Linked DNA regions of Caenorhabditis elegans. The protein of the gene in region 3 interacts with the protein of the main gene of each other region in a pairwise test. Each region holds a gene or a part of one and is shown on either strand. Other genes may lie near its edges.

What was found.
Region 1: the proteins of sma-9 (region 3) and ces-2 interact in a two-hybrid assay, tested with the Caenorhabditis elegans proteins (one large-scale study listed by BioGRID).
Region 2: the proteins of sma-9 (region 3) and ztf-16 interact in a two-hybrid assay, tested with the Caenorhabditis elegans proteins (one large-scale study listed by BioGRID).
Region 4: the proteins of sma-9 (region 3) and lir-1 interact in a two-hybrid assay, tested with the Caenorhabditis elegans proteins (one large-scale study listed by BioGRID).

The regions. Positions count from the first base shown.
Region 1 is NC_003279.8:14,958,562-14,966,698, reverse strand, and holds ces-2 (Transcription factor ces-2), read right to left. Parts: upstream 5,203-8,137; 5' UTR 5,173-5,202; coding exon 4,891-5,172; intron 4,839-4,890; coding exon 4,776-4,838; intron 1,969-4,775; coding exon 1,678-1,968; 3' UTR 1,338-1,677; downstream 1-1,337. UniProt on the Caenorhabditis elegans protein: Transcription factor. Required to activate programmed cell death in the sister cells of the serotoninergic neurosecretory motor (NSM) neurons. Negatively regulates the activity of ces-1 which in turn negatively regulates the activities of cell-killing genes.
Region 2 is NC_003284.9:4,804,654-4,814,130, reverse strand, and holds ztf-16 (Zinc finger protein ztf-16), read left to right. Parts: upstream 1-2,590; 5' UTR 2,591-2,605; coding exon 2,606-2,678; intron 2,679-2,891; coding exon 2,892-2,947; intron 2,948-3,191; coding exon 3,192-3,336; intron 3,337-3,439; coding exon 3,440-3,531; intron 3,532-3,885; exon of another isoform or gene 3,886-4,023; intron 4,024-4,241; coding exon 4,242-4,310; intron 4,311-4,474; coding exon 4,475-4,564; intron 4,565-4,626; exon of another isoform or gene 4,627-4,767; intron 4,768-5,460; coding exon 5,461-5,685; intron 5,686-5,877; coding exon 5,878-6,057; intron 6,058-6,125; coding exon 6,126-6,251; intron 6,252-6,299; coding exon 6,300-6,503; coding exon of another isoform or gene 6,504-6,587; intron 6,588-7,254; coding exon 7,255-7,437; 3' UTR 7,438-8,133; downstream 8,134-9,477. UniProt on the Caenorhabditis elegans protein: Positively regulates the expression of ver-1 in the amphid sheath glia of amphid sensory neurons. Together with ehn-3, plays a role in somatic gonad development and is required for proper gonadal primordium assembly and somatic gonad precursor cell morphology.
Region 3 is NC_003284.9:10,770,358-10,776,862, reverse strand, and holds the start of sma-9 (Transcription factor sma-9), read right to left. Parts: upstream 3,773-6,505; coding exon 3,209-3,772; intron 3,157-3,208; coding exon 3,001-3,156; intron 2,933-3,000; coding exon 2,395-2,932; intron 1,971-2,394; coding exon 1,519-1,970; intron 1,334-1,518; coding exon 1,258-1,333; intron 1,034-1,257; coding exon 624-1,033; intron 576-623; coding exon 438-575; coding exon of another isoform or gene 339-437; intron 291-338; coding exon 72-290; intron 24-71; coding exon 1-23. UniProt on the Caenorhabditis elegans protein: Transcription factor, probably acting as a transcriptional activator and repressor, involved in the TGF-beta-like dbl-1 signaling pathway.
Region 4 is NC_003280.10:7,669,828-7,676,263, reverse strand, and holds the start of lir-1 (LIn-26 Related), read right to left. Parts: upstream 4,260-6,436; 5' UTR 4,222-4,259; coding exon 4,156-4,221; intron 1,401-4,155; exon of another isoform or gene 1,265-1,400; intron 1-1,264. Other genes in the region: lir-2 (C2H2-type domain-containing protein), read right to left, coding at 4,470-4,554, 5,134-5,553, 5,605-5,785, 6,349-6,418.

The DNA.
Region 1 (8,137 bases), on a different chromosome or scaffold from region 3:
ACATAGTGCTAGCCAAACTAAATATTTGTAGTTAATAGCGTCGATATTTTCGATGATAAGTTCCAAAAACAACTACTATATATGGAATAGAAAAAACAAGTTGTGGAAAGCTTTTTGATGATTTTTCTTGAAGACAACTAATATTTTGAAATACTAACAATAAGAAAACCTAGAGCATGTTTCTCATAGCGTTTTTAGCTGTAATTTGAAAAAAACTTTAAACCACCAATGTTCCGTCTGACTCATAATTTCTCAATATACCTTGATTCAAAAAATTGTAAGAATAAAAATAGTAGATCCACTTAACGGGCGGCAATTAGAACTTTGGAAAACTAAAGAAAGAAAGAGAGAAAGTTAGAGAAAAAGGTGGAAAGCGAAAAAAAAAGAAATATAAAAAAGTGGGAGGCTAAGTGTTTGTTGTGTTCGAATCACTTAATCTTTATGGGAAAACAACGAAAAAGAAGACTTTCACGGATGAATTGGCTTAGAATTTAGATGTGATGACGCAGCAAAGGCCACTTTGCGGAACGTTCGAAATAATCATGATTTCAGTTTATAAGTGTGTTGATGTCAGATAATAACTTTAATTTATTCAGAAAACTTTGATGTTACTCATTGTCAGAGTTGTTCAAAAAGTTAAAAACAAAAGTTTTACTAGCACTTGAAGGCGTAATAAAATATGAACTTTGGCGAAAATTGCGAAATCGATGTGAATATAACTTGAAACTTTCTTAGAACTTTTGGAGAACTAACAGTTTGGAAGATTTTGAACGGTTCGACCCAAAATGTACATTTAAAGATGTAAACAATATAGAGGATGTTTGATTACCTATCGGTTTAATTAACGAAATAAAACAATAAAAAAATAAAAATAAAATACCAAAAAATGCAATAAAAGACGATAATTCCAAAAAATTCAACATCGGACAGATGCGACACAGAAAAGTAAGCAAAGTTTGAGATGCTAGCTATAATCAGTGTACTTTTTCGAAATTTTGAACCGCCATAAATTTTGAGAAGTTTTTTGAAATTCGAGGAGCAACAAATAATAACTTAGGAGTGTTGCCTAGCACACCGAATTTTAGATAGTGACAAGTGTCACTTCTACAGTTTATAATAAATTAATGGCTACAAAAAGTCAAGAATGTAAATATTTGGAATTGTTTAAAACTCATTCATATATTCCGAGTTAAAAAATTCAGGTTTAATTCTTTTAGAACTATTATAAAGTGCAAAATATTACAAAGTTGGTTACAGATCTTATTATATTGTGTACTATAATATATCAAATACATATATTTCTGAACCATTTAGAAAAAAAATGTCAAAAAAGTACATAAAATGCATACACAATATTTATTGTCAAAATAAGAATTTGTAGAAAAATCATCAATGATAAGTTGAAAAACTATCAGGAAATATACACGCACCCGCAGATGAATAACCTGATAGGGGATTGAGGTAGGGAGAATGAAAGCTTAAGAGATAGATCAAGATGAATGGGTGGTATAGAGAACCGATTTAAAGCTAAGGAAAGAAAAATAAAGCAATTTCAAGAACCTAGAGAAACATTCAAATAAATAGAAGCTTTGAAGTAACGACTGTAAATTTACAACAAAAGTGCGTAAACAACACTAATCTTTTTTTAAGCGTCCGGTATATGAAATACAAACAATTTCATACTTCAATGGTTGAATCGCTTTTAGAATCATTAGAATCATTAGTTTCCGTTGAATCGTTTGACTCGCAGGACACTTCAGAATTTGCTGGTGAGATTTTGGAGAAGAGGAGAAATCTGAGCTGCGCGGCCTCTTGCTCTAAGCTTGAGACCTTTCCACGTAGTTGCATGTTTTCCCGTTCTAAAGCATGAGCTTTTGATGCGATTTGTTCTTCTTTTTGACGACGTGCGTCTCTCGAACGTTTCGCTGCATCGTTGTTTTTGCGCCGACGCTCGAAGTATGCAGAGTCCTGTAATTGCTGAGATTAATTGTGATTTGTTAAGTTTTCAGAAACTAGGAATTTATTAGTCTACAAAAGTAATACACAATTTGCGAAAAGCCTATCAACTAGGAATTAATAAATCTCTAAGCACAGTTAGCCTAGCAAAGAATCATAATTCTATTAGGGTGATAAATAAGTTTTGTCGTTTTTTTTTCAGTTTTGATTTTTTCTAGGATATTTTTTGTGGATATATAGAAGACAGTTAGAATGACAAGCCTATCAATATCAGCCATGATGGGCACCGTTAAGATTATTTCCAACTCCGTTCTCTGCCGATCAAAACATTTAATTTTTCCGATTTTTGTCATTTCTTTGGGAAATCGAAAACTTATACACCCTCAGGTAATAGACTATTAGTTTAGCACATTAGTGTAATAACATCCTCATACATAGCGTATCGATACAACAATATCAGTTGAAAGTGCCGAAAATGCTTGCAAACATGACTTTTTAAACTTTGAACGACGCTAACTCCTGAAACGTAAAAGATATGAAAAAATGATCAACTACAAAATTAACAAGCATTTCAAGCACTACAATGTGTTAGTTGATGACTGTTCTGTATCTTTTGTTGTTTTTGAGTTAGGGTCAGTTGAAGTACGCTAGGCCGAAATTTTGATGATACCATTTTTCCCCATTTTTCCATGTAGCTTCAAGATAAATTATTTAGAAGAACTTTTTTAAGCAAAAATACAATAATTAAATAATTTTATACATTTCATTAGTTGTACGTTTTTAATATTTCATATCCCCGAAAAGATATGAAGCACACATACACTACTAGTTATTTCTTATGCGACTTTTTGAGTTTTCATATACTTTATTAAGGAATATGCCAAAGTTATTCCGTTTTATAAAACAAGAGCTACACATTATCGCAAATCCCATATTAAATATCAAAGGAAAAGTATCTCATATTCACGTAAGTTTATTCAAAAAATCGGTGTGACAGTTGTGTTTTGTGTAAGCCTCTCTTCTAACCACCGTATGCCGTTCACCAGAATGAGTGGGTTTTGTTGTGTAAAATGTACGACCCCTCTATATATTTTTCCGTATGTTTTATGCTCGGAGGGGCACCGCCCGTAAAAGAAAACTTAGATGTAATATGCGTTAGGCCAAAAAAGTTTGAGTCTTTTGTTACAGAAGGACATTAAAGTTTCATAAAACGACAACATATACAGTGCCGACCAATATTCTATTCGTTTTCGCTTTTAAGGTGATTTGCTTGAGTTGTTCAAACAAGTATAACTCGAATACGATAACATCTAGCAAAATATTTTTAATTAACAAAATGTTGCCGTTCATTTTGTCTACACTCTTGATGTTGGTTTACATAACTTTATTACGAAAAAAGCTACATCAGCTGAAATCAGCCGGGACTATATTTTGACTAGAATTGCTAAGTGACCCACAACTTTGTGCTCATGAAACAAAGTTTAATAAGAAAATAATTTGCACCAATTTTTCTACACTCTGCCATTTGCAGTTCTGTCATCAATCGACCAGGAAAAATAATACAGAGGATTGAACATGATTCTCAAATTTCTAGATTTTGAGCATGTTTTAAAAATCCTATTAAATAGCTTTATATAATAGTTTTTGTAACGAAAACTTACATCACGAATGTTTGCAACATGTTTGAAATGTTTTTAAACTCAGAACCTAAACAAAAATTTTGCTCGCATTTACAGAAAATTTGGTCAGTTCTGACTTTTGTAATGCATGTTTAGTCATCTGTATAAATTTCCCTGGGCACTTTGTGACAAAACAACAAATTGCAAAAAGTTGAAAATTCTGTGGAAATTATTTTTTTAAATTACACATGTAGAAAAAGTAACCGGTAACATTTTGTTAGTTGAAAATTATTTGTTAACTATTATAGTATTTAAGTAATATGTGTTTGAAAAACTCAGGCAAATGGCCATAAAACCGAAAGCAAATAGAATATTGGCCGGCAACGTGCCACTATGATATTTGGCCATTTCGCACTGGCGCTACGAAAAATTACAATTTTTTTACAAAATGAGAATGTGGGTACTTGTACGACGCAGTAAATATAGCTTACTTAGTATTTGATGCTAGCTGAACAAGAAGTGATGCTGATCTTAATTTTTTGAATTCCCGCCTCATTTGAATAATATAAATGGTAGCCCAAGTCCTCTACGGGGGTATAGTTGCGCAACACCCCTTCCTGTCCGGTCATGCCCCTCTCGTATATTCATATTCAAATTCCTCCACACACATGAAGGTTTCTCTGTCAGGTAGACTGTATGTAATTACCCCTTCTTTTTCTTATGGCAACAGTTGGGTGGTGCTAAACAATGAGCCGAATCTCGAAGAGCTCTTAATTGGAGGCAGTCTGTACCGCATTATCCCAGGAACAACCAGCGGATTTTTGAATTGGGATTGTTAGGAGTAATTATTCATTAGCATAGCTTAGAGACAAAATGGCGTTGACAATGCTCCGCACTAAGAGGAAACTCCAGGAATACGGTAAATAAGGCAACTTATAATTATAATAGTTTGGGTGGGGGCGTTAATACTAGTTGACTTTCACACTATCAAAAATTCTGACACCCATAAACCATCTCCAACAGACACCTCGCGGTCGTCGTTGCGTAACTAACAGGAGTCGTGTTACGTAACTGTAGTGATTTGAACTTAAGACCACGCAAATACGATTTATGAATATTTTTAACCTCATGGTAAGTCTCTATTGGTTTTCAGATTTTTTGGAATTGTATACACTTGAAACTTAAAAAATTGAAACAAACCTTTTTTTCTTCTGGAATCGGAACCGACATCTTTCGTGATGGTGACCGTTGGGGACTTGAAAACTGAAAATAATTCCAATAGTTTTATAAGTGCTAATAATTTTTCCCAACTCACGTGTGAACTGCTAACCGTACTCGACCTGCTTGACACTGGACTGGCACACAATTCATCTTCTAGTTTGATCTTCTTGGTTGGTGTTAAAAGATTTGTCGTGGGCAGTGAGTCAAATGGTAAAATCCCCAACGGAGTGTCCAACTTCTTTCCGCCGGACTGTGCAGCAAGTGCAGTCGTCAGAATAGAAGTTCCGTCGTTGAATGGGAAACCAAGTGAGCCGAGCAGTGGTTGAACGGCTGCTTGATTTGTGAAAAGCGCCGATAGTGCTCTATGAAAGTCCATTGCGTCTGCTGTGATAATTTGGGGCTAAAAAAGACACAGATTTATTAACTATAAGAGAGTTGAAGAGGTAAATGTTTGATTTTCAGTTTAAACTTCCGATGGATAAGCTAAGTGAATAGTTTTAACCCTAGAAGACAAAGGCTAGATGGAAAATTCCCAAAAAAATCCTTTAATTGATGTAATAGGGTACGTCAATATTGAACTTTTGATTAAAACATTTTTAGAGTTTCATAAACTATAAGCTTGAAAATTCAACTATAGACCAGCCATGTTTCAGGTTACACCATCCAATTCCGTTTCAAAAAAAAAACAAAGATATGCCCATGGTAAATTAAATTGAACAGAAGAATATATTGGAAGGTAGAAAAGAAAGAGGTCAAATGTTTGCACAATCATAAAAAAGAGTAAAAGGAAATGGAGGAAAGAGACAATCTAGGATTAGGGTGGAACCTGAATTGGTAGAGGTTGTTAGATAAGCGGTGAGTACTGATAAAGTCAATGTGGATCCTCAAGTTACTTAACAAGTTTGAAAAGTTGTGTTTAATCAAAATAATTGGAATTTTGCTTGTCATATCTTAAAATGAAAAGTTGAAGTAGGCTAATTGTTATTACAAAAGAGTATATAATATAATTCAAGTTTTTAGCTCTAGAATACATTTCTTAATCAAAAATGATCACTGAAGAAAATTCAAGATGCATACGTTAGATGGGGAGGAAATGAAATGACCTCTACAGTAGTCATATTTGAAATCTATATTTTTTTGTGAATAATTTAAGTTTTATCAGAGTATTGTAACTGGAAACATCTTAAGAGTTTTGCGCGATTTTTGTAGTTCAAAGTTACATATGATTTTTTATTAGTAGAATCAAAAACTAAAAAAAAACGAAGTTGTAAGAAATTGGGTCTACTGGGACCACCCTGTTGCCCCATATACCCATCGGAGCATAAGAGTGATTGCGCGTCGGCTGTCTCGAGAAATGACAGGCGGTATGCGGGATGAGGGTGGCAGCATTTTCCGCCCGCCCTCCAAGAGGTCACCACCGGCCATCAGAGGGTGCAACAGTGCGCAACACTAGAGAGCACGGGAAGAGAACGAGACGCAGAGCAACCGTATGCAATGGCATTTGAATATTCGTTTTCTATGAGAGATAGGTGTCTCGTGTGCATTGGAACGTCGGCTCTTCTTCTGAAGAGGAGAATGAGGGGTTGGTGGTAGACATGGAGGAAGAGACAATCATTACGCAAGTATTTGAATGGTAGGTAGTCATTAGGTAATAAGGTTTGTTGGGTTACGGATTTGTTGAAACATTGAATGAATGTTTTGATGCTGTCTGAAATCACCTGAAATCAATGAGAAATGAAGATTTAATTACCAGCAGTCAGTATTCTAAAATTCAGGGTTTTAATTTTATGGCCTTACTTTCAACAATTAAACCCTCACGTTTGAGAGCACATCTTAAAAATTCAATATTAGAGGGATATCATTAATATTACCACCAAGGCTTCACATGCATCCGAAATCACTTCTCTTCATGCAACAATATTCATCCTCCCGACCTTTCATCCTCTTTCAAGTACCATGTGCTCATCGGTCCCTCTTTTGAACTTACGCAATGGCTAGTAATACTGCGTAACTGTTACAAATCTAGCCTACCGGAGGGTATACGGGGCAGTGCTGTGGGGCTCTCGGCTCTCGGCGGAAGCCGAGAGCTGAAAAAAATTTGAACTCGGCTCTCGGCGCGAGCCGACTTTTTTCAAGAGCCGCACAGCACTGATACGGGGTTTTTGAATTTTTTATTGGAATCATATTTACATTATGAAGATTTACGCTCTACTTCAGGCTCACAATCCTGACACAAACTTTGAAATTTGATGAATCCAAATAGGCGAGTTTCCGATTCTCCGTGGCAAAAACAGCCGAGTTCTTGTTCTATTTGGCACTGATCTAAAGATAGGACATGTTTGTAGTCTTTCCTCGCATGCTCCGTTTACGATAGCACATGTGTTGAGCGCAATTAACTTCGCGCACATCTTCCTAATCCCGACAAAAACGCCGACGTCTAATTGATCATTGAATTATTATCTTCCAAAAAGGACTTGACACTTTTTCTCCTCATCGAAAGCCGAATCCACTTGTCAATCATCATTCTATAGAATTCAAGCAATTGCCAATTTTTTATGGATGACTTGCACAGGCGGGTATATATTCAAATGGAATTGAATTTGAATTTGTGAGGTTAAGATTTTTATGTATACAATAGTAAAAGATGAAATCATGTCAGTAGTACCGCTTTTTTATGCTAAAATATCACAGTGAAGCTTTTTAAAACTTTTTTGAAATTTCTCTATGTGTACTCAATTTTCACTTATCATAACTTTTGAAATGGACCAAAAACGGTTTTTGTATTCGATAACACCAATGAGAATTCAGTTCTTGGTTGATATCATGTTTAGAGATCTCAAACTTTTGAAGACTCTTCGTGTTTCTGAGTAACTTTCCGAGAATTCACTCTTTCTGAGGAAGAGTTTACAACTTTTTGAGCACAAATTTTTAACTAAGTGTGCTCGAGATTAGGCATTCTTGCGGGGACTGCTTTTGTGAGATAGTTTGCACTAGAAAACTCAAAGCTTGGTCGGAGTTGGGCTAAGCTTGGGCGAGAATATGTTCAGGGCTGAATTTGTGTCTCTATTAGTGTTTATATTTTGTTGCGAAAACATCTAAATAATTAGAACATTTCAATAATATTCTTTATTCATTTTCCGAAGATTTTTTTAAAACTAACTTAACTCAGAAAAAACCAGTCCACTTGGATTTGGAGCAATACACGAAATTGCACCAAAACTTTGAAGGTAAATTTTGAGAACTCTAAAGGGTTTAAGGTATGTTGTAATGAAATTTGTTAATATAGAACTATTTCTTGTTTTTTTATTTGAAGTTTATTTGAAGTTTTTTTTCAAAATTTT
Region 2 (9,477 bases), 6.0 Mb from region 3:
CTCACTCTTCACATTTCATACACACTATCTCTTTCCTAATCCAAGGTTCTTGATGAGAGGACGTATGTCGGTACCTAAAGTGTCAATTTTTCAATTCCTGTTTTTTTGGTTATCATCCTAAAAAATTTCACGTCGTTTTCCAAGGTTATTGAAACATTATTGTACTTTTTGTGAATTTGGTGCTCTCATAACTCATTAAAGATCAAAACAAATTGAAAACATGAAAATTAAAATCAATTTCGGAACTAAAATCTTCGTGACACTGTAGATGTTTGACTTGATCATACGTTCAGACGAAACAACAAAACATACAGGAAGAAGACACATATGCAAGCATTCACACCTTCTCCTAACATCCTTGTCTTCTAATTTTGTAACATTTCCGAACGGACAAAAAACCACAGAGATAATGTTAGAATGATATATAATCCTTGGAAAACCACGAGATCGTCAAAATCACTTGTTCTCCCTCCAATTTTTTATCTACATTTGACGTTTTCCCAAATGTTCATCCAATTGTAATTCCACATGCCTTATCTATTGGAAGGTCATTACTATGTTCCAGACGCTCTTCTCACTGCCACAAAAAACCGGGTTTTTTTCTCCATCGTAAGGAGGAGACATAGTGCGGAGAGGGAGGAAGTCTCCCTGCTGCAGCTAGTATGGTCTGAAAAGATCCCGTCGTCTTCACTTTAACCTTGCCGACCTTCTAGGCCACCCGCAACGGCATCCCCTCTCCCCCAGTGCCTTCTCTCCAATTTTTTCATTCTCTTTCTTCCGAACGAAACGGTGTGAGTGTGTGTGTGTGTGTGGGGGTGGGCGCTGCGTTTTTCTGATGAGGTGCGCGCAGCTCGATTTTTTCTTTACATCTTGCGCCCCCGGGCGACAGATAGAGATGATGCCCGTTGCTGCCTGCCGCCACTGCCGCTGCTGCTGCCATCGACAGTTTCTTCTTCTACATCGTTTTTCTTCTTTTTTCTTCATCGTATTCCCAAAAAAGCTTGTTTGGCACCCCGCGACACACGCACTATCTCACCCCCTTTCTCTCTTCTTGTAAATGCCATTCAGAAACCGTCACCTCCTCCCCCCCTCGATCCCCGCCATCTCATTTTTTCATTGCCATCCGCGTAAAGTCGTTTTTCCGCCCTGCCACCCCCAGGTGTAATCCGCCCCATATCAGTTTGCCAGCTTTTGCACTTTTAGTTCTACCGTATCCAATGCCTGCGGTGCCCCACCCCCAGAGATTCCTTCACTCCATATTTGCTCCCCACCATTCCTCACACCCCAAATTTCTCTTCCTATCCTAGAACCTAAAACATAGAACCTAGATTTATGTATCGCAATCTTACCGTTCTCCTCCGCAAACGTAACGTCATACTAGATGCGAGTTTGCTCTCCAGTCACTTCACCCATCTCAATTACCTGTTAGCACCATCTGTCCATCTAGACCACCTTCCTGCTAGTCTCGAACTTGTAGTGGTGGTTACGCGCAATTGACAGTAATCCAGTATAGACACACAGCCATGCAATCATCAACATAATTGTGCTATAATCCACCTGGCATTACTTTGCCTTCCTTGAGATCCTGTTCTTTTTTCTCAGGTTCCTGAATCTTATTTTTGTGCTGGTTTCAGATTTTGATCATTGAAAATTTTCATTTTATAACATTTTTACCCTATCCACCCAATCCATCAAATCTCTTTTTCGTGTTTATGATGCAAATTTTGTGTAATAGTATATATGTTTTGATGTTTCGTATCTTACACACCATGTCTGGATGCGATAATTAATCCATATTAGTTCCTCCTGTTTTTTTTAATGTTCATCAACTTTTTTTTCTTATTGCTCCTCGTAAAGGTCCGTAAGATACCTACTGCCCAGCGAATACACACTTTACCACTTCTCTTACAAATATAGTAAGCACACAGTAGCTCGTCGCTATGAGTGCAAGTCAAATCCGGAGAAGCAGCTTATGGAGTACACGGGGAGGCATCGGGTTGAGATGTTTGGCCAAACCCGGAAACCGTATCTCGGTCCTTCTTCGCCTCCGCCGCCGCGAGACGACAAACAACTAGGCGAGGTCACCTAGCTGCTCTCAAAACCGTGGACCAGGCTCTCGCTAAATCAAACACACTCATAACAAGTCCAACTCGCAGTGGTTGCTAAAGAAGCTGGCTATCCATAAATTACTGCCTACTCCCCAAATTCGTATCCAGGCGCGTAACCAGTAATTTGGCGAGCCGTTGTAAATGCTTGTCAATGTGATCATACCTATGGATCCGGCTCCTCCTTTTCCCCCTCCTCCGCTTTTTTCGCTCCGATAATACATATTTTTCCAGTCACTCTTAGTATTTCCATTTTCCAATTTTCCCATATATTCCTATATCCGCCTGTTACCATTTCCTATACATTTCCTTTCTTATCTTCTGCCATCCGTAAACACACCTGATTATTGTGTGCAAGTCTCGTCGTGCCATATTCCTCGCTTTTTTCCCCTATTTTTCCTCGTTGTTCTTCTTTTTGTCGCCCATTTTCGTCTCATTACCAGATATTCCCTGTCAGGGTTTTTCATTTTGCTATGGTTATCATTTCAGTGATCTCAACAATGGATGAACTGAACGCTTGCACAGAATGCGGATTCACGACTACTGTATTTTCCGAGTTTCAAGGACATATAGGTAACCAACCTGTTCGGTGATACATGAATGCCAATTCGTTTGAAACATCCACCTACCCGCGCTTTGTCCATCTTTTTTTCATCTTAGAACGGAGACAAACCCGTAAAAATTCGGATTTGTAGCGGTTTAGTGAGCGCTTCAACCCATTAACTAACCCGCTTCTATTGCGTTTCACATTTAGCAACATTACCCCCTAATACTTTTTTTTTGCAGAGAAGCACGAAAACGAGCACAGCAGGTCTTCAAGCGGAGAAATGTCTAACTCGCAGGTATGTTATGGGAGAGTAAAATTCATCCAGAAGAGTGAGAGCGTGTGAGTGAGAGATATAGAAAAAAGGTTGCGTCATAATGCCATATTTGCCTAATTAGTGCCAGAGGTAGAGAAGATATGTGAGGGAACAACAGAACGTGGAAAAAATGAAGAGGGGAGGGATGTTGGATGTGACGTTGTAACACGTCTTCCAGACATGCCCCCTGAGACTCGTTAGAAACATTGAGACCAAGGCTTTTCAGACAATCGAGTGGGGAGATGGTATTCAGTCGTCCACGCCGTCGCCACGGTCCACGCCCCCTTCAGATCCAACGCCGAGTCCGGACTCGGATGAACATCTTGAACATCACATTTCGATAACAGAAATCACAAACACTCTCATCAAAAGTAAGTTTTCTTTGAATTGCATTTTCTTACACACTGGAATGTATTTCTATTGATGGTTAATTACCAAGTACCAATATGCAATTGTGAAACCTAAAAATTTCAGAAGAACCAGGCACCAAAGGACAAAAGACGGTTCACGTTTGCCCGCACTGTAATTTCACCACTTGTATGTCGCAACACATGAAAAGCCACTTGGTAGGTTCAAGGATTTTTACCCGTTTTCTTGAAAGCATTCTCTTGTTCTATAGGTGACGGAAGAGTGAAAGATACTTTCAGTACATTATTACGCATGTTCCCAAGGGTACAAATTAATTTTAGCATGTAAATCTGTTGATGGATATGAAAGTCTTTTCAATTTCCCTCTTTTCCACTTTTCATCAATTCCTTGTAAGGTGGGTCCTGTAAGTCAACACTCCGTGAACCTTTTCTCTTCTCCCACTCGCTCCATGCCGCTTTTCTCACAAACTACTGTTTACTTTCTATCTACTGTCCAGTTAACTGCGTCTCTCACTTGACCCTACTGTTTTTTGTTCCGACGGCCAATCCCATCACTTCCCGAACGGTCATCGGGATGAGTAGTAGTGGAGTGGTATGGGAGAAGGAGGCAGGCTCCTCATATATTGGCTTTTCTTCTTAAGGATGTTGCCTTTCATGTGAGCCGGTGTCATACTAATTGGTTAAGGCAGAATCTTCCGAGAAACCAAACCAAAAAAAACATAGATTTTCCCTTTTTCGGTTATGTAGTGACATCAAGCGGTAGAGATTGGGATGGGTGGAAGAAGATGGGAGGAAAAAGAGGCGTTTTTGGAAAAAGAAACGGGAAGACCAGATACGGGGGCAGTACAAAAAACGTGATGACCTTAGAAATCACATGACATACCAGTGAAGATTCTTGAACATTTCAGGAAGCGCATGAACGCCATCAAGGCCAAATGTACCAATGCGACATCTGTAAAATGCAGTTCAGCCAGAAGGTGAGCAATTTTTAAAACATTTTCTGAATCGGAATCTGGTTTTCAAACACTCGACAACTTTTGAATCATTTGGATTTTCCAAGTATGGTTATCGTGCTGATTGATCTTCTTCTTTGATTCCCTTTTCACTTTCTTCCTGTGGTTTATCAATGTTGCGTTTTCAGGCTAACATGCATCGTCATCGGATGCGCCACAGCGGTGTGAAGCCATACGAGTGTCGTTTTTGCAAAAAACGATTTTTCAGGAAAGATCAGGTATGCTTGTCTGGCATATTTTTTATTACCCTCCACCTCCTAGCCCCACCATTTAACGGCTGTTGCGTAAGAAGCCGCTGCCGCCTTCCGTAACTCAAAAATCGTGTTTTATCTTCAATTTACGTAATCAAATGGAAAGTGAAACTGATCTCCCGTAAGGAAAGGGAAATTGAGGGAAGAAGGAGGCGGCGGATTGCCGCCTGAAGGTCGTTTTCAATTTGGATATTTTCACTTTCCCGGAAATAAGAAGAGTCTCTTCCATGGATGGCAGGGAACTGCCGCAGTGCCCATCAACCATTTCTTCAAGCGCTCTGATGATATCTGTTTGCCCAAAACCGTTCTTGAAGGTCGACGAGCCTGAAGAAAACAGGAAAATCGGGGGGAACCAATTTGACGGTATTGGTGTCAGGTTATGCCGTCGAATATGAAAACGGTTGGCGCGTCTTTCTTCTCCGATTCTTCATACTATCCGACGACGTTGGTGAAGATGAGAAGTAAAAGACCTTGACGATAGCACGCGCATTTTCTTCGGAAGATCCTACCTCCCATCCTACCTTCTAGCATCTTCTCGATGTCTCCATATTTTTGCCGCTCTTTACTGTGTACCTTACCCCCAGGGCCAATCAGTAAAAAAAAGAAGAAATACCAACCGTCGGCGGTTTTTTTTTTGTTCTAGCTGCGTCTCTGATTGGTTCCCGAAAAGTTGAAAGCCATCACCCTCGCTCGCATCAAAAGGGGTTTTTATAATGAAAGACAAAGGTTGCGGGGCGAGGAGAAAACCAGAGAAAATTGTAAATTGTAATATTGTGTGAAAGTGAAAACCGATTTTTAGATGTTAAAAACATACCGTAGTCATGTTTTAAACATGTAACTTAAAATAAACCTATAACTTTCAGATGCAAGAGCATTCAATGACACATATCAAAACGGGTTTTGGTTTCGACTGTCCAGTATCACAATGTAACATGCAGTTTAGTCAGCACAATGCACTCCGAGCACACTTGGAAGAAACGCACACAATTTCGTCAACAAATCCCGCGTCATGTAAGCGATGTAATTTGATGTTCGCCAATTCGCGACGTCTTCTCCTTCATTTCCAGACAAGACATGACGATTCTGAGGTAAGAGATGTAACTTCAGATTACACGGAAACGTAACACATGATTAGCGAGCAGAACCTGAGCCTTATTAGGTGATGTTTTTCTCGTTCTCGGAGCTTAATTCGGTTGCCCCAAGAGACGCACTTTCCGTGGAATCTCTCTCATCATGTGATATCCTGAACGTGAACTCTTATTTCTCATTCTGATTTTCAGTCTTCTCCGAAAAAAGAAAACACGCCAAAAAGGAAGAAGCTGTCGAATGGAAATGCTTTGCCAATGGATCCTGCGAACATGAGCATAACAGAACAGTTGCAAAGAATGGTGAAATCAGAGTTTAGCCCTCCAAACACCGACACCTCCGATAACTCCACAAGTTCTGAATTCGACAAAATTGTAAGAATCTTTCTTTCGTTTCTTTTTGAATAAAAAGCATTTCCATGATTCCATGGTTTTATTTTCAGCCACCAAGCTTCCCTATGGCTAACCCAGATATTTTGTTGATGTGTCTAAACCAAATGAACCAGTTCAATGGATTCGGAGAAAACATCCCAAGACCAATGCTCAACATTCCAAATATTCCATTGCCGGTATCAATGAAACCTTCACACTTTCGCTAATTAACCTTTGCATTTCAGGCTCTTCACAACATTCCAGCAGTGGCAGCGATTGTGAAGCAGGATCAGGTGCAACTCTGGTCAGAGCAGACGTCAAGCTCTGTGAGTGTCAGTGCTCCAAGTCCGAGTGAACAGTCGCACTCGCCGCCAGCCAATGAGTCATCACTTTCGTTAACTGAAAAAGAGAAATCACCGACTCCCGAAAAAGAAGACGAGGAGAATGTGGTATGTGTTATCGCTAATAACAACTTGTTATTGAAAATGTCACCATTTTGTTTACCTTTTTTCGAAGTGCAATTAGAATTGTGAGCATCGTCAACAGAGTTTTTTTTTCCAAAAATTGGGACTTTTGATCCATTTCTTTGTTGATGCCAAAATTTGGTTTTATCAACCTTAAAAACATAGACTGATTAAATGATTGCCAATTTGTTGCAACTTTCGGAACGTTCTCATTTGAGAAAAAATCTAAAAAAAGAGATAGAAAAACCGAACATTACACCATGTATAGTTTGATGAGGAGGTTTTCAATTTCTCGTAGATGTCACAAGTTTTCTTTGAAATCTGAAGGATGATGGATTCTCTACATCACCCACCTTATCAGAACTATCAACTTTCTCTTCCGAAATTTGAATTTAAAGGAAAACTATAGGTTTTAGGTATTTTGAACATTTTGCAATGAGACTTCTCAAAAAATTTCAAAAAAAAAGAGTTAATTTTAGCTAAAAGCCCGGCCTTTGCCTTTTCCGGTTCGCAGCAGCTGATACCATTCAAAAAAAAGTTCGGACTGCTGCAGTTTTTAGCTAGAATTTGGCAGGTTTTTTCAAAAATTCAAATTTCGATTAAAAAAAACTTTTTAAAAAGTTTCTGTTAGAAACTTCATTGCAAAGCTCGTTAATTCGTGCGCTTTCTGTATATATACTCAAAACACTCATAACCGTTACTCATTTAATGGCATCTAACTCTAGAATTATTTTAGGAATGCTGTCATTGCGGAATGATGTTCTACGACAACACAATGTACCTGCTCCATAAAAGTCTTCACTCGGACGGTGATCCTTTCAAATGCGCATTGTGCGGAACTCAGTGCGGCGAGAAGTACATGTTCACTACTCATGTCATTTTTGCCGATCATAGTACTCAAGCAACGACTTCCGCCTGAATTCACCATCATCCAAGAAATATCCCCCCGATTGCCTTTCAGTTTTAGTAGTCAGTCTAGCGAATCCAAAACACCCCCATTCTTTCATCCACATTTTAATTTTTGTTTTTTTTTTCGGTTTTCTTCGGTTTTTTTCGATGCATATTCACAGTCAATTCTGATTACCTCTTTATTTGTCACTTTCTTTCTTCATAACAGGGAAACAACGAATGATTCTGCTTCTTCTCATTGATTCTCAACAGCTCTTTGTCTCTATCAAAAGTATTTGCCCCGTGTTTTTGTCTATTTCTCATCAATATTAAACCATCAAATATCATTATTTACATTTTTAAAAACTTTCTTCATCTTCTCCTGATTCTGCTCTCTATCTTGTTTCAATTCATTTGCACACGTGTCAAAAGTCATTTTGGACCCGTTAATTTTTTCCGTAACCTTGCATTGTTAGGTTTTTGTTGTTAGTGTTTTATTTTCCTTTCTCACCACCACCCCTCATCAAAATTTGTACAATTTCAATGATTTCTTCGAATGTATTTTAAACTAGTGAACTTCAACTGATATTCAGAATTTTTGAAGGCCTCCTTATCTGTTCCACCCATCCCAAACATTTCTTTCCGATTAGAATAGTAATTTTATCAAGCTTTCTCTCTGTCCCACTGTCCCATCAATTTTCTTCCCATTTCAAAATAAATTTTGTTGAAAACATACTGGAGAATAGAATACTAGAAAAAAGTCATGGTGGCTAGGAAAACGGCTAAATGGATTGGCAGGCAGTCTGTGATTGACATTGGCCCAGCGTATATGGTTATGAGTCGTGTGCTGCTCACTACGGACAATCCGGTTCAGTTGGGCAGTGTCCCACGGGGACTTGCCAAGAACCCAATGCATCAACATTGTGCTCTGCAGGACCAACAATAGTGGCTCTCTTTCTCATATTTTTGTCAAGATTAGCGACTACTAGATCAGTTTTATTTATAGCCATTTGTAAGGACATTTGAACTATTTATGGGTTGTTGTTTTATTTCAAACTGCATCTATATTTGTTAGCAGATTGATAAAAAGTAGAACTATCACAACACAAATTGCAGGTGCCTTTCGTCAGTTATCTGACAGAACATGATTGAGAAACACGGTTGGCGAAGTTTCCAGTTTTTGCCATATTTTTTTTACAATTTCGCATTAAACCTAAAAATTCATGTTTATTCACATAATTTGATGAATGAAAAATTAGCTTGCTGGATTCTGAAATTTTGCAATTTTTTCCTCACAATTTTATGCACAAAAAATTTTCAAAAAATTTTGTTGAATATATTTTTTGAACTATAAACAAATGTTACATTTTTACATTTTATGAATTTTAAAAATTCAGAAAACAATAAAAACAAAAATTCCGGTGCTTTTTAAAATATCGTTTTATGAATATTCAGTTTGATAATTTCCAGGAATTACTATTTTTTTTAATTAAATTTTTTAATCTCAAAGACGGAAGTGTAAAAAATTGTTTTAAAATTTTCCAAAGTTTGCTTTTTTTTTTCAATTTTTTCAATTTTTTCCAAAAAAAAACAATAGGAAAACAATCTTCGACAAATAAAAAAACAATCTTCGACGGAAATTCCCAGAAAGAACAGAAACTTGAAAATAGAACAATTTGAAAATCATAAAACTTTTTTTTTTTGATTATACATTACTTCACTTTTAAGTTTTAACGTTACATTCCTTTTTCAAAGTTTGAGCTTCAATTGACAAACTGCACTTGCTGAATCTCATTTTCCCGCAATGTTTCAACGCCGTTGTTCAGTTTTCCATACATTTCAATTAATGTCCTTTGTGCTGACATCCCGCTGTGACACAGTAACTAATCGCGTTGAAATATGTGACTTGAACAGTTTGCAATAATTTTAATTTTTTTTCGCTACGTTTTTCTAGTTGCTTTCCACATTCTCTTAACAGTTTGCTAGAGAAAAAAAATCAGTTTGCGGGAGAAGAACTGCTTCCGAAGAACAACTTTCTGATAAATGCGTTTTTGTTAGACAACCAACAAAA
Region 3 (6,505 bases):
TTATCACACGGGAGGGCTTGGATCTGAAAAGAAAATTCGTTTTTGATCTTGAAAGATAATAATGTTTTTACAATTCCTTTTGCTTGATATTCTTCTGCATTCTCCAAATACTGTTTCTCACTTTCAACTGTCATTTCTTCGAGTTGTTGATCGGTCAGTTGCGATGCGAAGTGAAGAAATTGTTTAACACAAATCGGTGATATGTTGTAGTTTTCATAAATATGTGTCAATGTTCCAGAAGAAACCATTGTCAGTTTAGTTTGTAATACTTTGGCAAGAAATGCTTGAACCTGGAAAATAAAACAATTTTTTGTACGTTTTAAAAATATACATAGTATTCATTTTAAAATTAAAAAATAAAAGCTTCCAAAAATTGAAACAAGTTTAATTTCTGGTGTTTTATCTTTGGTATGGATCCTGTATAGTCTTTCACTTACAAATGGCGGAATGATGGCGGCAAGATTTTGAAGCGTTAACATATGTTGTTCCCACTCCTTTGGTAAACTTCTAGGAAATGATGAGGAGGATTGAAGAGCGTCAGGTTTTGATGTACCGTCTAGTTCAGTAGAGTCATCCTAAAACATTCAACGATGATGTAATGCTAATTAAATAAGACTACTTACTTTTTTCAACTTTATTGCAGGCTCTGAAGGACCAGGCATGTTCGACGGTGTGTGGGCTGCAAGTGGAGAATGCATTGCTAACGTTGCATCTTGATGAGTGTGACGACGCTTCAGAGCACTATGCGGGTTTCCTTCTTGTGCTATTTGTGCTTTTTCTAGCTCTTTTTTCTTTCCGCAAACAACTTCGTGAGCTTGGAGACCAGCTTCATTGGGAAACGTGAGTTTGCAGTATATACACTCCGGTGTGTAGTTAGGATCATTATGTGCCTGAATCGGACGAAGCAATGGCTGACCACTAGTCAAGCTGCCCATGAAATGTTTTGATCCACTAAGCTCGAATAAACTCTGGCTCCGACTAGCAGCTTGCAACATACGACTGTCTTTTGGCCCAGGCGAAGTTCTTGTTGATCCTGAAAAATATAAAACATTAAGGGACAAACGGGACAATCACAATATTCATCAATATATAATATGCAGATATGGACACGTGCAGACACGCACTGGCATGCAAATCGAGACGGTATAGCGGAAACGTTGGGGCGAGTAATAGAAGGAGACAATATCTTGTCTTGGGATAGAAGGACAAGGGTAATGGAGCGATGCTTTCAAGAAACTCAACCACACCACAACTCACCACCACTATTACTGTCGTGATCGACCGAGGATTGCGCACCTATTTGCCGATGGTATGGCCGCTTTTTGCGAATCACCTGTAAATGGACAGATTCGAAGACGTCAAACAGAAGGACAAATGAGATTTGAAATTATGAATAAAAACATGAAAGGTTTTGTTTTATTTTGGTCTGGTATTGTTTCCGTATCATTTCATCAAACTCCAGGGGGCGAATTATTCAAAAAAAGAAAACCCATCACGCTAGAAGAATTCGGCACTCACCGGGTCTCCTTGAAGAATGACTTCGTTCTCAGAGATGATTCGGCTGATGTGGTCCGACATCGACTCGTTGCCAGACGATGCGGCCTTCGACGAGGAAGGCTGCTCAAGTGGTTTGGAGAGCGAGGGGGCTAAAATCTGATGACTGCTTGTGGCAGATGCAGACGTAGATGTGGATGATGGATTCATGGAAGGGTTAGAATTTTGTTTCATAGGTGGCACAGCAACAGGCGTGCGGACTGCAGCCGGTGCCGTCGTTACCGCCACCGTAGACGGTACCGGCTGCTCTTCTCTCCTTGCAATACCAATTGGAGTTCCCATGGTGATACCACCTCGAGGAGCAGGCGTCGAAGAAATGAGCAACTGACGATGTTGTGCCTCGCGCGCCTGATTTTGCAGCATCCGCTGCTGTTGTTCGTTCAGCATTTGAGCCAACCTCTCTTCTTGTGACTCTGCTGAAGGGGAAAAATATTGGGTAAGCGTGTTTGAACAACCAATGGTTAGAAGGTGGTGCACAGAAAAAGAGAAGAAGATGATTCAGGAGAAAAGCTGAAGTAATGGTTACAAAAATCTCATTCTTTATCACTTTCTAATTATTGTTGGTTTACACACTATCTATTTGCATGCATATTTCAAAAAAAAACAAATGGAAACAAAATGTTCTATGATATTTTTGATGTCATATACGTATATCGGATAATTTTCAAAGAGTTGTGGTGTGGTTGTGTGGTTGAACGTATGTGGACTGGCAAAAAAGGGAAACGATGGAAAACGGGAAGGGAGAAACTGGGAAAACAGAGAAGGGAAACAGACACAGAGTTGTGAAGCGTGTGAACGTGAGAAAATGAAAACAGAGAAAAATACAAAATTTAAACGTACCGTTTGGGGTTCCATCGGCTCTTTGCTGCAGTTGCATAGACTGAATATATTGCAGTGCTTGAGAAACTGTTCTATTTTGAGACTGCCCTTGCTGTTGCTGTTGAGCCTGTTGAGCTAGTTGTGCTTGCTGAGCTTGTTGAGCTTGTTGAGCCTGAGCCTGTTGCTGTTGGAGAAGCAGTTGCTGTTGAAGCTGGGCTTGCATTGTCTGTGTAAGATCATTCAACTGTGGAGTTGAAGACAATGCAGGCGTCGATGCAACCGACGGGCGTTGTTGTGAAGCATTGTTCTGAGCCTGAGCTTGTTGGGCAGCCGCACGTTGCTGATGAAGCTGTTGCTGTTGTTGAAGAAATTGCTGCAGTTGTAACTGTTGTAATTGTTGTTGCTGCTGCGCCTGCTGCTGTGAAAGCTGCTGAGCTTGTTGCTGCTGCAATTGCTGTTGCTGCTGGAGTTGCGCCTGTACCTGGCTCTGTTGGGACGGCTGCATTTGTCTAGACTGGACATGCTGAGCTTGTTGAGCTTGTTGTTGGGCTTGTGAGATCTGAAGAAAAAAAAAATAAAATAACGCCAATTTCAAGTTATCAACATGCTATTTCTGTGTCAACTCACCTGTAGAACCTGTTGTAACTGTTGCTGCTGGAGCTGTTGTTGTTGAAGTTGTTGCTGTTGCAGTTGCTGCTGCTGAAGTTGTTGCTGCTGGAGCTGTTGTTGTTGAAACTGCTGTTGTTGAAGCTGCTGTTGCATGTGCAATATTTGAGCAAATTGCTTAAAATAAAAATCAAAGTTTCGAATTATCAATTTTGTACTAAACACAAACCTGTGGCGTGACTTGCTGTTGAATAGCTGCTAATTGAGCTTGTTGTTCTTGTTGCCGTGCCTGCGCCTGTTGCTGTGCCTGTTGCTGAGCCTGCTGCTCAGCTTGATGACGAGCTTGGGCTTGAGCTTGTTGTTCTGCCTGTTGTCGAGCTTGTTGCGCTTGTTGAGCTTGCTGAGCTTGTTGTGCCTGCTGTTGAGCTAATTGATGTTGCATAATTTGTTGTGGATTCTGAGTATCAGTCTGTTGCGCATTAAGTGCCTGTTGCATCAAAAGCATGTTAACTAAATTTTGTCCTTGTGGTGTTGACAAAGCTTGCAGTATCTGAGCATTCATTTGCAATTGCGGCTGGTTTTGTTGTGAAGCAACTTGTTGCTGTTGCTGCTGCGACTGTTGTTGCTGCTGGACGTGCTGCACTTGCTGTTGTTGCTGCGAAGCCTGCTGCTGCTGAGAAACACTTCCAGGTCCATTAGTCTGGAGCTGTGCTTGTAATAATCGTTGATGATTTAGCTGCTCACGTTGTACCTGCTGAAAGTTGTTCGAGATTCCAATTGCCTGATGGCTCATTCGCCAATTCTAAAACCACTTTTTAAGTTTGATTCATGTAAGTTAAGTTCATCGTAAAACAAAGTGAGATAAGGGGGAAAATGAGAGATGAAGACGTATTACAAAAAATAATGAGAAAGTGATTGGAACCATGTGACGTTCACATGAGACCATAATTAGCATGAAAGTTACTTGTCTACAGCAAACTGGGTACAAGGTTCACTTTTAATGATTCGGGGAAGAGTGGTCACGTTTTTTCTTCATTCCTATCAATTCAAACGTCGTTCTGATTTGATTCATACTGATTTCTCTAATATGTTTCATTACAATGAATGAAGGGGAATAAAAATAACAATTACTAAAACCGTTGCCAAATGTTTTTAAGACTGTATACAATGTCTTGAAATAAATCATTAATCAAAACAGAAGACAATATATTGTCGTTCATTCTTTTTCTATTCATATCAAATCAAGACGCAAATTGCCTCACTTTGACTCCTGCAACAGATTGGAGGCTCTCATGAATGCAGTTCAGTCTTCGAAACGGTTACCCATTACTCGCGCAATCTTTTCACTCACACTATCACAATTTAAAAAAACGGGAAAAGAGTACGTCACCTCAATTCTTCGTCACCTTATCACAGATTTGCAGCTCTTGAAAATGTTCAACACTTCTTTGTAACTTGTGATTGTGATCGATTAGTATTCTATGAGACTAAAAGAGTGTGTGACATACACATTTGCTGCTCTCTGTCCTTTTCTCTCTCTTTCTTTCTTTTTCTCACTCAATGTTCATTGACTTTTCCCGTTATCATTACCGGGAGACCGGCTGTTGGCCAAGTGATCAATGACTCTATGGGTGCTAAACAGGGCGCGAATGATTTGAGAGGGACATTGGAAAAAGAAGATAGAGTGGACTATTGTGAAATAACAAAATGCAAGAGAAGTAGAGAAATGGGAAGAAAAGTTACCAAAAAAAGTGAGTGTGGTTGGTTGATGGCAAAATTTCGTACAATTAAAATATTAAGAGGACAATCAGGGCACCAAATTGTGGTGGATAACTACTGTATTACTTTAGTTTTATCAAAACTGATATTAATGGAAAACAAAATTATTTATTACATATAAATTTAACTAAACACTTGGAGCATCAGGTTTAAAAAAATAGTTTTGATATGCAGAAAATGACTAAATACATTTGAAATTTGAATGTTTTCTAGTTGCTTTCGTTAACAAAAAATCAAAGCCAAAAACTATGTCTATTAAAGCTAGAAAATGGTTATTTTTCAGTCAAAAACTCCTTTTTTAATTCAAGTTGTATACTGTAGTTCATTTATGTAGTCTGTTTTTCTCAATAATTCAAATGACTAAAATAGATGTATCTGGTAGCTGCAAATATTTATTTCACAGTTCTGCTGTTTTTTTTTTAATTTTTCGCCAAGAAAACTTCAAGATTTAAATTTTTCTGCACTCAAATAAGCTAAACCTCACCAATTACGGTACTCTATTAACAAGTTTTCATGATTAATATCTTTATTTTCTCTATCTCTTCGGAAACAAATCATTCAAATCTTGTAAAAAGCGTGTAAAAAGTAAAAGACATTTGTGATAAAGAGAAAAAACACTCATTGGCTCAGAAGAGATGCTTGAGCCTTGACAATTCCGAAAGATCCTTTCTCGTTTGAACCCAGAGAAAACGATAAACAGGAGGAAATGCCCCGGGGTCCCATGACACTAACAGACCAAGTGATATGTGTGCACAGAAAAGCACTCTTTCACTCTTTTTCTCTCTTTTTCTCCCTCACTTTGGATGGATGAGAAATAGAAAAAAAAGAAGGGGCCTGGTGAATGAAAAGCAAGAAAAGAAAAATGAGAAATAAAGGAAGCACTACAGAAAAAAAGAGAGAGAGGAAAAAAAAAGGAAACACCCCGAGGAGTTTGAAAAGAGGCCGAGGCAGGAAAACAACTGTGATTAAACATCAGACAAACGTGTAGAGGACAGGAAAAGAAGCAGGTGAAAAATAAGTGAAGGTTCACGTGATCATTATGTGGTTTTGACGAGTGAGAAGAAAGAGTGGAGAAAAGACGAAGAAAATAGACGCCGAGCGAAGGAAAAATAAGCGAAAACAGGCCGCCCATATATTCCATATTGAGAGGAGTGGCAACACACGGAGATCAACTATGTGGAAACTGTATCCTTGACTTTATTTTCTCAAGTGATATCAGAAATACAAATTGCCGATAACAATACATGCAATAGGGCATTACGTTATGTTTCGTTTTAAGATGTTTTTAAAAACTACCCTTTTTTGTTTTTGTTTGCAAAATGTGTGTGCGAAATAAGAAAATATTTATACAACTAGACAAAGTGAATAGTGAATTTTCAAAATGCTAAATTTTTTGGTTGAAAATGCAGTAAAAATTCTAGTTGTGTTTTTATTGTTATTTTTTGCGTCACTCATCTTTTAGAAACTGCAGAAAACATTCTTAAAGCTAAACAGGTACATTCTGTATGTGCTCAATTAATAATAATTTATACAATTGATATTTATTAGTTCATGTCTAATTTTATCGTAAATTTTTTAAACTTTAAACAAGAGAGCAATCAAGTAATTATTGTTGATCAAATGCTGTTACTTTCTTTTAGTTTTTAAAATTATTACATTACATTAATGCTACTCTTTTTTATAATTTTTGAAAGTTTACACTGATCATTTTCCATAATTAAAAAGTTATACCAAAGCTAAAAAAATT
Region 4 (6,436 bases), on a different chromosome or scaffold from region 3:
CACCCGAATCGCGCATTTCAACGACGACGTTGCTCCCATTTCCAACATGGGAAACATGAACAACCGGATTACAATGTCGCACTCAAATTCAATAAAATCTGATCCAGGGACTATAGACAGAGCATGATCTATTTTGAAATTGTTATCAGAAAAAATCTAAACCACATGTCCTCTCAAGAGCTAGTCGTAAACATTCGAAGCTTGTGCCAGGTGACCTTGCATATTTGTTGCGCTTTTACAAAAAAGTAGGAATTTTTCAAAAAGATATATGACCTTGCACCTAATGCATGGATTAGTGATACTCGCCACATATTAGAAGCAGAAGCACACTGTAACTTCCTAGAATAAAACAGGTGATTCTCAAGATCTAGATACATATGTCTCACAACTCAAAAAGCTAATCCAAATTCTTGTGCACATGAAAAGTGAAAGTATAAGATGGGTCATGTAGACTAGCGTCTGTTTGACGAAGTGTGTTCATTGTGAGTCATAGAGAAGTGATTAGATGTTGTTAAAAGAAGGTAGTGGTCAACTTGCTACTTAACTTGGAAAATGCCAAAAATACAGCTTTGATCAAGGTTTTTTTTCTAAAAATCGCTACAATTTTTACCATAAATACTAGAGTACCAGTTTCATTGAAATTATCTGAAAGCTTTTCCAAATTAAACCTTACAGCAAAAAAAAACGATTTTTTAAATTTTGCCAATGACAACTTTTAGATACAATTTCACATTTTCAGACAATTTTTAAGAAATTGTTTTGCCTTAGTATTTGATAATTTTGAAAAAATGTCTTCCAAAACAATGCTAAATCTTCAAACAGCTCACTTGGAATTTAAAAAAGTTCCAAAACACCTATTCTACACATTTTGAATTTTTGATCGTATGCTCACTCCTACAGCAACCCATTCTTCTCTTCAGTACTCTCCAATCGTTCCTTTCCACTGATTTTTTGTTTGATGCACGGTGTTTAACGATTCCTCTGACATTGGTGGCTCTGACACAATGAAAATGTGTGATGGCCTCGCTATGTGATGCCCGACCGCCTCTGTGGTTGTAACTCAGCGATTCGAAAACCAGTTTGAGTGGTGCCCTCGTCTCGCATGCGCTCATCACTTCGTTTTCGTCGTCGTCGTCGCCTACAGCGCCTATGTCGATTTGTCGATTCTATTGTGTGCAATAATGGTTGAACGACGAGTGAATCACGTTGGTAGAACGAATCCGATTTAGACAAGCGTGTGTGCGCACAAAACGATTTCATCTGAATTGGCTCCAATCGGGGTCGATTTATAGAGCGGAGAGGAGGTCGCACCATTTCATCAACTTCTTCCGTCGTCCAACCGTTCACAGAATTTAGGTCATCGCGAGCCGAAAGTGCGGGTGTACGTCTTTGCGGCCTCGACGGGTGACTTTACGGAGATATGCATTCGCTCCTTGGACATGAAGAAGGAGAAAGTCATGGATTGGAATAATATGCGCTACGGAGGAGTGAGAAAGATCACGGAGACGACTAATGCGCACTGTGCGCGAATGTTCCCATAATACCATAAACTCAGAGAGAAAAGACGACACGGATACTCTAACAGGATCTTCGGAACATTTAGTAATACGTTACTTTGAGTTAAAAAGAAAACGATAGCACATTTTTTAACTTTTCAAAAAAAACTCAAAACAACGAAAAAAATTCTACTCGAGTACTTTAACTGCTTAATTAGTCGATAATTTTTTGAAAACCATTCAAAAATTCTTCTAGATTTTGAGCAATACTTCCTACCATAAAATCTCAGAATGACGTATCCCAGGTCAAAACTTTAGAAGACCCTTTCACTCTCACTTCACATAATGCACAATTTGACCTTATTTCGGACACTCACTGGGCGAAATCGCGTGAGAATGAATTGGAGTCAAGAGCGTCTTGTAGAAGTGAACAAAGAATTAAGAAATAAGAAGGAGTTTCATTTTATAAGTACGGATAGTCAATGAGTGGAAGCAATGAGGACTCGTAAAGACGATTATTGTAATAAGGGGATAAAGAGTCTATACTATAGAAAAAAGAGAAGTCTGCAGACTTAAGGTTAAGTGTAGTGACGGAAAAGTGAAAAGTCGTATCAAAAAAGATGCACAATGATACCGTCAGACTGACGATGTGCTCGATTTTTATGGCTTCGGCTCCACCGGCAATATTTGCATACACCACACACACACACACACACACACACACACACACACACACACACACATTCTAAGCATTGTGCTGCGGTTTTATAATATCGGACACCTTACCACCCGCTTTCAAACCGGGATGCTTAGAAGGTGATAGAAGAAATGGTGTTAACAGCGCTCACACAGTTTTGTTGTTGGTTGCGCTCGCCGGGGCACACGACAACGGCGACAACGACGCGACGAGTACAGTTTTGTCAGTTGTGTGCATTGTGCATACAGGCGCTCAATACCCGGTATGGGAGAAAGAGAAAGGGATGGGAGAAGACGATGATGGAGAACAGGAGGTATGTACACTTCGGACGATGCTGAAAGTGAGGCAGGCGCCAACGCGTTCTATTATGAGCTCGTACAGGCAAAAATGTATTCGTAGAATAGAAGAAAAAGAAAGACATTGTGATGAAATATAGATTATTCAATTACAAGATTAGTTCGGACAGAAATACCAGAACTAAATGGAATTTTAATGTTTCAGGAAAATTATTGATTAATTTATATTTTTAGTTATTGTCGCTAATGATTTTAGAATTTAGATTTAAAAAATCTCGATAAATGAGCAAACCTGTCAAATGCGAAAATTAACCAATTTCCAGTATCAAATATAGAAATATTTCGAAAAAGGGTAGAGGATGATACTGAGAGAAAGAAAACGGACGGTTGCTCCGTGAACAGAAACATTCAAATCCTCCGTTCAACATATACTATCTCTCGTCGATGAAAGTAGCATCACCGTGTTGCTCGCATAAATGGAAAAGGGAACAGAGCGAACAAAAAATACGGACGCCGATGCAGCAGTTGGCTGCAGCTCTTGCTTCCTTTCTGCACATTTATGAGAGCGCCACGACGATTGATTTCATCGATCTCTTATGTACAGGAGAAGCACCGAAAAAAGGAGCTATATATGTCGAATTCGAAATGAGCATCGTGCGAAAGAAAGAGCTTGGAATTGAGAGATCATTGATAGAGTAGAGGTTTTAGGAGAAATATAAAAAAAATGTTTGCAGTGATGTTCAAGCTAGTCTATACTTCAAAAATCTGATTTCTAAGAGAATAGAAGTTATAGGTTATGTTGAATCCCTACATTTTAGGATCAAGGGTGTCGCTTTTTCGGTTTTTTTTGTTGGAAATTCAACAAATTTTGGTTTTTTGATTTTTCGAAATTTCTCAAAAATTGCTCGAAATTTCAGCGCCTGGGCTTTTTTTAGAAGGAAATTATATTTTCTTTTGTGTTTTATATTCAACAAAATTAAATTTTGATTTTTTTTTCGGAAAACCAAAAAAGTTCGTTTTTCGATTATCTCTCAAAAAAATTGGCATTTTTAGACAAAAAAACTAAAAAATTTATTTTTCGAAATTTATCAAAATTTAACAAAAATTGCTCAAAAAAAAGTTAGATTTTCGATTATTTCTCAAACAGAAAAATTGACATTTTTTAAAAGAAATCCTTGGTTAGCATCAGACCGCACTTTTTTTCGGATTTTGGAAGAGCGAAAAAACGGAAAAAATTTGTTTTCGATTTTCAGAAAAAAAGTTTTTATTGATTTTCAATTACACTTAAAAAATTGTAAAGTCCAAAAAAAATAATAAAATCTCGGTTACTTGTTTGAAAAAAAACTTTAATCAACTTAAATTTTGAATTCCGTATAAGAAAAGTGTTTTCAAATTTTTTTTCGATTTTTTCTTTAAAAAAAAAACGGAATTTTTCGTTTTTTTTTCAAAAGTGAATTTTTTTGGATTTTCTCAACAAAAAAAACCGACAATTTTTTCAGCGGCACCCTTGTTTAGGAAGTCGATTCGAATAATTAGGGGATACCAATGGTTAATATGGACCGAAAAAGGAATCAGAGGTACAATTGGAAGTTCTATGCAAAGTTTCAAACCAGAGAAAATGAGTAAATCAATATTTTAGATAATTTTTATAAATAAAAAAACTCACGCAATAACTGAGAAGATCGATCGTTGCTGCATCATCGTTCAGTTCGATGACCACAAATTTCGGCATCCCGGCCGGGTTCGAATCGTACGAAGACGACACCTATGTATATTATTTATATTATTAGGAATTACAAGAGCACGATAAAGATATTCAGAAATAGAAATAACTATTTAAATAAGAAAAAAGAAATTACCACAAATAATAAAAAGACCGACGATTTTATTGAAAATCGAGTAAGAACAAAATTTGCGTTGTAAAACTTAAAATTAAAAGAAAATATTATAAATATCAACGAAAAAAATTTAAAGAAACTATTAAATTTTTGCTTCTTTTCCATATTGATGATTCGGGAAACACTTTGCCATTGTATCCAGCCATTCTTTTCGTACTTCTGGTGTTCTGAAAAAAATTGACTTTGTAAGATTTTTTTATTTTGGAATGAAACGAATTAAATTCAGTTTTCAAATGGACATCGTCTGAATTGGATTTTATTCAAACATTTTTAATTTTTTTTAATGGAGCGATCTTGCGACAGAATTGAATTTAAAAAAAAAATTAAATATGCTCTTTTGAAACATTTTTAGTCTAAAATATGATCTAGAAAAAAAAATTTCTAAAATTTACATTTTATTCAAAATTTCAAATCTATTTTTGCGGGTTTATGCCAAAAATAAATTTTTGGCTTATCCTCACATTTGGATAAAATTACCATTTTAAATAGAATGGAAAAAAAAAATCTTGCGGTGCAGCTGCAACATTAGTAGCAATTTTCGTAATTTATAAAACAAATTGCGTACATTTTAAAATAATTATACAATTAAAACAGAAACCGGCTTTCATGCTTTTCGAGTGAGATTAGATAAAAAAAAATAATCTCAGTGAATTAGTGATTCAACTAAAAAAGAGCTGTCGCACAATTTTTAAAATCTTTAAAAAATAATTTTTTTAAAATTTTTTAAATTCAAAATAAAAACTCACATCATATTCACAGGTTCGTGTTCCGAATTGTGTTGTGATTGTCCGTGCTGCTTTACACGAACTTTTCGTACAGCTTGATATGGACATTGGGAACATTTGAATGGTTTATGAGTGGAGTGTTTCATCATTACGTGTTCAAAGAAATTCCATTTAGAACCACCAGAATTCAGGCGAATTCCAATTCCACAAATCTCACAAATCGCTGTGACTACATCTCCACAAACACTTCCAGAACTTCCACATGATTTCATTCGTTTTGGAGATGGGGAAACTTTTCCAAAAAGTGCCAAACCAGTCCGTATAGCTTCAGTTGCTAGTTGTTCTTCCAATTCAGCAGTTTGTTCATCAACTTCTTCACTAAATTCATCATCTTCGTCATTGCAAGGTTCCAGTTTAACTTCTACATCAACACGTTCCACTCTGAAATTGAAAAAAAATTATGAAATGAAAATTCTAATTTATTAATTCTACCTGCTCTTGATTGAATTCGTCATGTCCAATTGTGATACAGGGGAAACCGGCAATTCTTTGTTAGTTGGTGGAATTGGTGTTGACCAAAATGGTGTTCCATCTCGAGAAATCTCATCTGTTTCAGGTTCATGTTCATAGTTGGAATATTCTACCGTATCGAGTCTAGGCGCTCGAGGTATACCTGAAAAAACGGTTAAAATGTTTTATTTAATTTAAATAACAGCTGCAATTAAATTAATGTGATAATTTTCTGATGAGAAATAGGAAAATTGTTAGTTTCATCTCTCAATTTCCGTTTTTCGGTCATTTTTTAAATTTTTTAAACGAAATTTCTTCTTTTTTTAGTGAATCTAATTTTCTCGTTTTTGTTTCGTTTTTTAATCGATTTTCCGAAATTCGAAAAAAATCCGAAAAAGAATATATTGATTTATCGATTTTTCAATTTTCGTTGTTAAAAAAACCTAAATTTTTCTTTTAAAAAATAAAGAATTGTTCATAATTTCCGATTTTTTTTATTTTTTAAAAGAAGTTTCTTATTTTTCTCATCGAAATCAACATATTTTGGATAAAACAATAGTTTTCTCGACTTTTTTTCGGACATTTCTTTCATTTTTCTCGATTTTGCGATGTTTTATTTTCAGTTTTATCTGAAAAATACTGAGAATCAACAAAAAAAAACGGAAACTTTTTTGATTGTGACGAATTCGCTTTTTAAAGACAATTTGGGAAGTTTTTTACACTGACCAGTTCTGATAGACGATGCCACCATATCCGAACTTCCGATGTGCTGAAATCGAGAGAATCCATGATCAATCTGAAAATTATAAATTTT